Mus musculus: one gene and its partner. The protein of the gene in region 1 purifies or fractionates together with the protein of each later gene. This does not show direct contact. Links are inferred from orthologs where the notes say so. Each region holds a gene or a part of one and is shown on either strand. Other genes may lie near its edges. The genes, in order: Ndel1 and Dync1i1.

Region 1 (4,535 bases):
TTGTACTGGAACCTATGGGAAGTGCCCTGGAATGCTTTACAAAGTTTGAAGGGTACAGCAGCTCTCACCTTTTCTTCTCTTACAATGCTAGTTTTATAACTTGTGCTTCCTTTTGAGACTGTCATCTTCTTTACTGATTTATTTCCCATGGATTTGGTGTAATGGAAGGAGGTCGGGCAGTTTGCTGACTCTAGGGTACTATTCCAGCCTCTGGGCCAACGAAGATCAGAGCAGGGCCTTTGGCTTCTGAGGGCTCTGCCAAGCTAAGCCCATTCATTAAGAAGGGGATGATGCCAGTCCTAGGGGCAGAGCAAATGGGAGGGGCAGCAGCCTGGGAGATGATGTCACTGTTTTCTGAAGGGCCTGGCCAGCCATTAGGTGACTCAGTGTGTTTCTTAGCACCTCAGCCAGGAGGCAGGACAGAAGCTGTGGCCTTTTTATCTTTTCCTGTTTGGGTGGGACGGTTCCTGTCTTGGCACCGGGTCTATAGGAAAGCCTTCATTAATCACTTCTCTGCCTTAAGTCTGATTAGATTGAGCAGAGTTTCAGGTAGGGAAGCCAGACTGAGTTTCAAAGCTGTTCCAGGCCACTGGCCTGTAAAGCAGACCTTTTTTTTTTTTTTTTTTGAGTCTTATGTTACAATATAGATCTAATGATTCCAGCTTCAAATGTTGTTGATGGTTAACAGTAGTGTATGGAAGGCACTTTAGCCCCACGGTCTAGCCTATGTTTCCCTTCTTGTCAGCGTAGTAGTGGATAACAGTGTAGCTTCTGAGTTTGAATTTGCGCTGTAGGTGAGTGACCTTGGGGAACTTCATCTTGCTATTTCTTACTTGTAAATGAGAGTGACGTGGGGTTACTGTGACAAAGCAATGCACCCCAGTGACTGGTACAACTACGGGCGCGACAAACCGCACAGTGAACTCATAATCTCTTTTTAAAAACCCTATATCCTTCATAGTGTAGTTCAAGACGCTCTAGACCCCAGTAATCTTCCTCTGCTCATCAGTTTGGGTTCTCCTTAAAAATCCATCTCGCACCGTTTTTTGTTTATATTGACCTTTCCCAACCGTATACGTGGGCTCACCTTGTCTTTCTTAGGCTCAGCATATGTCTTATGCTATGTTGTTTTGTCTTCAAACTTCAAAACCAATCCCAACAGCACTGAAATAACAATTACATTGAGCATGAGACAGCTAAAGTTCCTATAGTTGTTCCCCAAATGCCTTTTTTAAATTTAAGTTTCTAGTTCCAGGACAGTTGTGTATTTCTCCTGTCTCCTTCGTGAGCTAGTACTCTATACTGGCTTTATACTGGCTTCCCATTTTAGCCTAGGGAACTACTCTCCTGCGCAGCACAGCTTCCGGAGACAGCACAGGGCTAAAAAACCCACCTCCTTCGGGGGTCCGGGGCGGCGCCTGCGCAGGACGCTGTCGCAGATCTCACGTCAGCGCGCAAAGCCTAGGTCGGCTCCACGTGACTCTGGCCTCCCACCGCTCCGCCCCGCACGCCAGCCTGCTTCTGCGCATGCTCTTGACTCCGCCCCCGTGCGTCACAGAATGGCCTCCGACACCCAGGGAGCCCCTGACGTGTCGGGGAGGAGCCCGGTGCGGGGATACGCGGAGTGGAGCTCAGGGCTGCGGAAGGGAGCAGAGCTGAGCGGCTGGGCGGGCCTGGCCAGGCCAGCGGAGCAGAGACGTCGGCCGAGCGGCGGCGAACATGCGCTTTTGACACATTGGCGGTGAGCTCCCGTGCGACGCAGCCTCTGGGGTTCGAGCCAGGCGGGCAGCGCCGAGGCCTGCCCCGGGGGAGCCTGCCTGACCGCCGCCGGGCTGGGGCTCAGCCCGCTGGGCCAGGCCGGGCTTGGGTTCTGGGGCGGCCCGTACCGAGACAACTGTTCCAACCGCTTTAACTGTCCCCTCCTTACTGGCGGAGGTGTGGCCCACCGGGGGCACCTGCGGGAGAGCGAGTCCCGGGCTTCCAGAGGAGGGACGGAGGCCGGGACGTGGCACCGGGGGCTGAGGCGCTGACGGCTCGAGGAGTGGCCCAGTTGGGGTGGCGGAGGCGCGCCCAGCTTCTCGCTCCACCCATCCTTGATTCCCTGGAGCTGCCGGGGTGGTTAGGAGCCGGGCAGGATCTTGATTTCCCAGCGCCCCAGATGCGGGAGGCGAGAGCAGGAGCAGCCCGCGTTGGCAGAGACTGGCAGTCTCGTGACTGCCTGCCCCGAACTGCTAATCATCCTCTTTGGAGTTGGGGAAAGTCTCACTAACCAACCGACCCCGGTTGCTTGGATTCGCTTCTTATTTTTCTCTGAGAAACGATGAGGTGACTAACACTTTTAAGTTTAAGGCGAGTGAGGGTCCTTTTCATTACCCGGGCCCATTCCTGTAGCGTTTGTAAACATTTTAGAACATTTGCTGTTTGTACTTGCGACGGATACTGTAAGTCACTTTTTGCTGGATGGGGAAATTGAACCTAGGTACAGGAGGTTGGGGCAACTGAGTGATTTTTATTTGGGTTCCACTAACTGGTGAGAAGTTTAGCTTGGGTTACAATTTACCTTTCTAAGCTCAGGGTTCTGGTTTCTGTTTTCATGAGATTTTTTTTTTTTAACTTCTTCAGCCGGAAAGAGGACTGAACATTGGACTTGTTAAAGATAATACCAGAAGTTACTAGATGACTTATTTATTTTCGAGTAAATTGACCAAAAAAACCAAAAAAACCCCAAACCAAACAACAACAACAAACAAAAAACCCCCAAAAGCTCAGTTACTAGAAAAATCTTATCCTGAAGCTTGCTCATGAGTGGCTGGTTGTTAGTCTGAAAATTATGTTGCTTTCACTGCACTTAAGAGGTAGGGTAATGTCTGCCAAATCAGAAAGCTGAGAGGGCAAAGCTCATCATTAAGTTAAGGAGTCAAAAGAGACCAAAGGACACCCAGTTGGGGGTATCTCTTCTGAATTGTTGTTAAAATCTTAGAGTAGGAATACATAAAGAACAAAGAAAACCTTTAGCTCCAGTTAGAGACAAACTTAATCTTAGAAGAAGTTGCTAAATCTGCAGTGCCTTGGTTTTGAATTGAATTGAAGTTGGATCCAGAGCATTTGAAATAAAAAATAGACCTGAACATGCTTTTATGAGACCAACAAAATTTATTTTCATGCGTATTTTAAACCATGCTAAAATAGACTTGAGGATTGAGGACTTAAGTTAAAATTACTTTCTAGGCACTTCATAAGGGAGAGAAATAAGGCCTATTTCATTCTGCATATATGTTAATAGTCATGTAAAATTAATTTTCTTAGTGCTGTACAGAGTATCTTTGCCAGTAAGCTCTGTTAGATGATAACTGTTTAAAGTTTCAGTGAGCTAATTGTCAGTTGTTCACATCTAAAGGTCGTAGAGTGTGAGCATGTCTGCTGCAGAAGTTGTAATTGTACACTCACACTCCATGTGAGACCTAGAATTAAGGAAGATGGAGAGGAGCAGAAAGTCCTTGTCTGCTAGCCTTGCAGCTGTAGAAGATTGTAGATATGCCATTTGAGCACTTTTTAAATCAGTGAAAGATTTGACATTGGCTAACTTTCCCCACTTACGTAATCTCAAGCGACAGTGAGCCTCTCCGAGTACCTGGAGGCAAACTCCACACACACAGTTTTGAGATCACCTGCAAGGGTAGCACATTCGTTACTTGAACCTGGTTCTTAGAAGGATGAAGTTGATGAATAGGTGTAGGGATAAAGCTGGGTACTGCCAGGCGGGAAGCAACAGATACAGCGTGTGATGGGAGGGAAAGAACTTGTTTTAGTCTAGCGCATAAAGCTTGTTCCAGGAGAGACGTTAGGGATGCTTTTGTAATGAAAGGAGTCATCTGCTTATAAATTTGGAAGTCTGTTTACTCTGGTCTAACTTAAAGGTCCACTTCTGGCCTAGTAGTTTCTTAGAGTTGAATTAACATTTATGTGATGTTTATGCATCAGGCTCTGTTACACGTACTGTGCCAATAGTAACTCACCTCATCTTCCAAATACAACTGATCTTCCTGTTTTATAGGTGAGGAAATGAGGCACTGAGAAGTTGAATAGCTTGCCCAAGGTCTCTCAGCCAGGCCATAGTTTGACTCTAGGGCCTGAGCTTTGCATGCTGATTTTTCTGGCTAAATTAATTTTCTTTTAAAACCTTATTTCTGTGTGTGAGTGTTATATGTGTGAATGTGGGTGGCTGCAGAGGCCAGAAGAAGAGCTAGAGCTAGAGGGAGGGAGTTGCCCTGTGTTGGTGCGGGGAACCATATTCTAGTCTTCTGCAAGAGCCACTGAGCCACTTTTCTAGTCCCCTCAGATTTGTTCTTTTAAAAAGTAGATATATTTATTATATTTAATTTTGTGTAGGTTTGTGTCTGCATGTGGGTATGTTCATGTGAATGGAATGTCCACAGAGACAGGAGGCATCTGAATCTCTGGAGCTAGATATATAATCTATCTATCTATCTATCTATCTATCTATATGTATATATATATGAGCTGCCTGGTGTGGG
Region 2 (3,812 bases), on another chromosome or scaffold:
CACACATATTGTCCTTTGATAAAACATTCTCCTGTGTGGCTGGGGAAGATCTGGAGTAGATCTTCAAAATTGATTATTGCTGGCTAAGCAGGCAGGAACCTGAAAAAATAAACAAGAGCTAGATAGGGTAACAAGAGAGGTAAGAAGCAGTCTAGAAAGTGCATCTTCTTTTTAGTCCTATAAGGTTGTGCATGTGTTACATGTGCACATTATAGGAAATGCAGATGGCAAAGAGATTTTTACAGATAAAACAACCAAAATCTATTCAAAGAAACTGAGAGAGAGGGAGTCCACCCGACTTTCCCTGTAACTGTGATGTAAGTGTTAGAAAGGACAGGAGCTGCCAGCCATCACCGTGGGATGTCGGGTACCACTTTATAAGACTCTTAAGAAACGGACACTGTTGGATTGTTCCTATAGATTTCTTTTGTCTGGGAACAATGTGTGAAAGTAGGGTCACCTGCTTTTTGCATCAAATTTGATTTTTTTTTTTAAAGCTATATCTAAAATTCAAATTCAAACGCATTCTTAAAGGACAAAATGATATGGTTATGTAGCGGAGGCATGGTAATTGTTTACTTTCATGCAGTGTTCTGAAAACACTCTCAACAGTTTGGCATAGTTAAACTGTGCAGAGGAGATAAACAGTATAAATTTGCATGTTCTACCAATAATTGGCTTCTTTTAAAAGAGCCATTTCTAGTGGCTCAGTTGATTATAACAGTCTCCCTTCCTATCTGAGTACACAGCCCACTACAGTACTGCTTTTCTAACAGGACTTAGTTGCATTCATCTTACCTGTAGTGCTAGCACTGCCCGAGGATTAACAGGGGTCTAGGAGCCAAGGGGTGGACATGGAAACCTTGCTATGTCAGCTCACCAGAGGTTAGATAGTTTCTGAAGCCAGGCTACTGAACAAGAACTACCGAGGTGAGTAGTGCTGACGTAACGTAGTGGAATAAAGTGACTGGAAGGAGGGTGGCTGTACACTGGGTGTACTGGGTGACTGGAAGGAGGGTGGCTGTACACTGGGTATACTGGGTGACTGGAAGGAGGGTGGCTGTACACTGGGTGTACTGGGTGACTGGAAGGAGGGTGGCTGTACACTGGGTGTACTGGGTGACTGGAAGGAGGGTGGCTGTACACTGGGTGTACTGGGTGACTGGAAGGAGGGTGACTGACTCCAGGGCTGAATGGAAGTGAGGCAGTTTAGGCAGAATCTTTTGCAGACATTTGAGCAGGCATTTCTCAATTTAAGAACACAGGCCCTTGAAGGAACTGAATGACCAGTGCAGAGTTCTTCAAAGGCAGTACCAAGGTCAGTTGAACGTTAGCCAAATATACACTGGCCAACTTGCAGTCAGTCCTCGAGGCCCAGTGCTCCTTTGGTCAATGACTGACACAGTTAATGCCTGGCCCACTCTTGTGATTCCCCAGCTCTCTACCACACCTGTCTCATGGCAGAAATGATGACCTACTGTCTCTCAAGGAGTCAGCCACTAAGGCCAATCACAATTCACAGATAGAAACATGGATATCATTTGGGGTCTAATAGTACAGAAGATATTGATAACAAGAAACTCCATTCCTTTTATGCTCCTTTAAGAGCAGAGCGATTTAAATGTTTCTATTTAGTCTTAGTGTGTGTATAGTGTGGGTACTGAAGGAAAAGTGAGAGGCAAACCTTAGGAGTCAGGTTCTCCTTCTACTAGAGGATCAGAGAACTGAACTTTGGATAGCAGACCCACATAAGTATTTTTATAAGCTGAAACAAATTTGATATTTTACAGCAGGCTCAGAACAAATACTAAAAGCCTTTCTGAGCCGGTAGAAAGAGCCTTTCGTAGAAAAGAATATATTTAATTCATTTACTCATGATCATGTGCTACTGCCTCGACACAACTCTATCTTGGAACCTCACTTTTACCTCTGTTGCTTAACCTACCGTAGGGATGTGCAGGCTGGAGCCAACCTGTCTTTCAACCGTCAGTTCTACGATGAACATTGGTCTAAGCATCGGGTGGTCACATGTATGGACTGGTCTCTCCAGGTAAGAGTGCTGGCAGGAAAATCTTGACAAGTGTTTTAGTAACATTTATATGGGAAAAAGGATACTTGTTCTATTTTGGATATATTTATTACTCTATGACTCTGCCCACTGCTTTTGTTCACATTTTTTTCAAAAGTTTGGGGGCTAATTATCCATTCAGATATTGGTACTTATTAATTAATACACTCATAGAAAGGAACAAGCAGCCAGACCATTCCGTGAAGTAAGCTCTTCTACGCATAGTCACTGTTGGTTTCCTACAAACCAACTTGGTGAATGAACAACCTCTTGACTATACATGAGTCACTATGCCCAGCACTTAGCAGTTAAGCAATGTGTAAAAGCACACAGTTAAGTTGTGATGAAGTCAGAATTCGAATGCATGTGGTCTGAATTGTGAACCCATACATTTTTTATCTGTAAAGCTTACATGCCAAGCACTATAGAAACTGCCTTGAAAGTGTCAGATTATTTCACCGTCAAGAGAATTATATAAAGCAGTCACTATCAAGATTTGCATGCTGTAGCTGAAGAAACCGAGGCTCAGTAGATGCTGAGTAAGTCACTAACCTTCACTCACTCAGGGTACAGGAGCACTGATCTCAAACATTGCAATGCTCTACTCCATTGGTTTTAACTGCCCCCCCCCAAACAAAAACCAAAAAAACAAAAAACAAACAAACAAAAAACTTGCTCATGAAGCTGAAACAGAAGCACTTGAAGGTGACAGATGATCCAGACCGACAGCAAGTATTGTTTCAGAGTGGAGTGTATGAGGGGATCACTCTCTGGTCACATCTCTAAAGACAGACCAAGGCAAAGAAGGAGAAGGTGATGCAGTCAAATAAGCAAGTGATGATATAAAAAGAGTCTCGTTTAATGTCCTTGGGAATTGGGGGAGAGCATGATCCCCATAACTGTATGGTCGACAGCTACCACTTAGGTGGGGTCCTCTGCTCTTGCACCGTCTTTGGCATCCAAACAACAGAGCACAGAGAGTATGACTGTACTAAGACAGTCAAGCTTGCTCAGTCTCTCTGCAGTGTGTGGGTGGTCTGGGAGCATGCCCTGGTGTTCACAGAAATCAGATCCAAGCCCTAGCAAACACTTAGCTTGGAGTGTTCACTCATTCATGGTCTGGAAATCAGGCAGGAGCTTTATGTGATACATACCCCAACAAAGGCAACTGCTAGTGGTTCCCAAGTCAGCTGCTAACACTCCCCAAAAAGACTGTTGGGTACCCCAGCCTCTGTGTGTGTTTGCATGGGGTTATTTCCACAAAAGTTCCTCCCCATGGGACATTGTGTTAAAGGAAGTGATTCTCTGTCTTTTCTCTCCCTCTCCTTCCCTCCTCCCCTCCTCTTCTCTTTCTCTCTGCCTGTCTGTCTGTCTGTCTCTCTCTCTCTACCTCTCTCTCTCTCTGTCTCTCTCTCTCTCTCTCACACACACACATACACCTTCCTGTCTGTACTGTGGGAATTGATTTGAAATTGTAAAACATGCATTTTATAGAGATTTTTTAAAAAATATAATCCCTAAAATTCTGTGTCGTAATACTTTTGTGGGTTCAAAGAACCAGCTTTTCATGATTCTGAGACAAAGTGACACTTTGAATTGGAGTAGACACACTTGGACATAGTAAGACAAAAAAGAAGGGCTATGGTGTAATGGCAGCAGATATGCCTTGGAGTTTCTTGTGTGAAACAAAATAGAACCGCAGGGAGAAAAGGAAAGAACTGTGAGTGATAATTCTGCTTTATAT

Evidence for each region.
Region 2: the proteins of Ndel1 (region 1) and Dync1i1 purify together in Homo sapiens (affinity purification with western blotting; 3 studies listed by BioGRID and IntAct, with this or other methods). This does not show direct contact. The link is inferred for Mus musculus from reciprocal best matches to the Homo sapiens genes NDEL1 and DYNC1I1.

The regions. Positions count from the first base shown.
Region 1 is NC_000077.6:68,850,148-68,854,682, reverse strand, and holds the start of Ndel1 (nuclear distribution protein nudE-like 1), read left to right. Parts: upstream 1-1,547; 5' UTR 1,548-1,741; exon of another isoform or gene 1,742-2,325; intron 2,326-4,535. UniProt on the Homo sapiens protein: Required for organization of the cellular microtubule array and microtubule anchoring at the centrosome. May regulate microtubule organization at least in part by targeting the microtubule severing protein KATNA1 to the centrosome.
Region 2 is NC_000072.6:5,913,880-5,917,691, forward strand, and holds part of Dync1i1 (cytoplasmic dynein 1 intermediate chain 1), read left to right. Parts: intron 1-1,950; coding exon 1,951-2,050; intron 2,051-3,812. UniProt on the Homo sapiens protein: Acts as one of several non-catalytic accessory components of the cytoplasmic dynein 1 complex that are thought to be involved in linking dynein to cargos and to adapter proteins that regulate dynein function.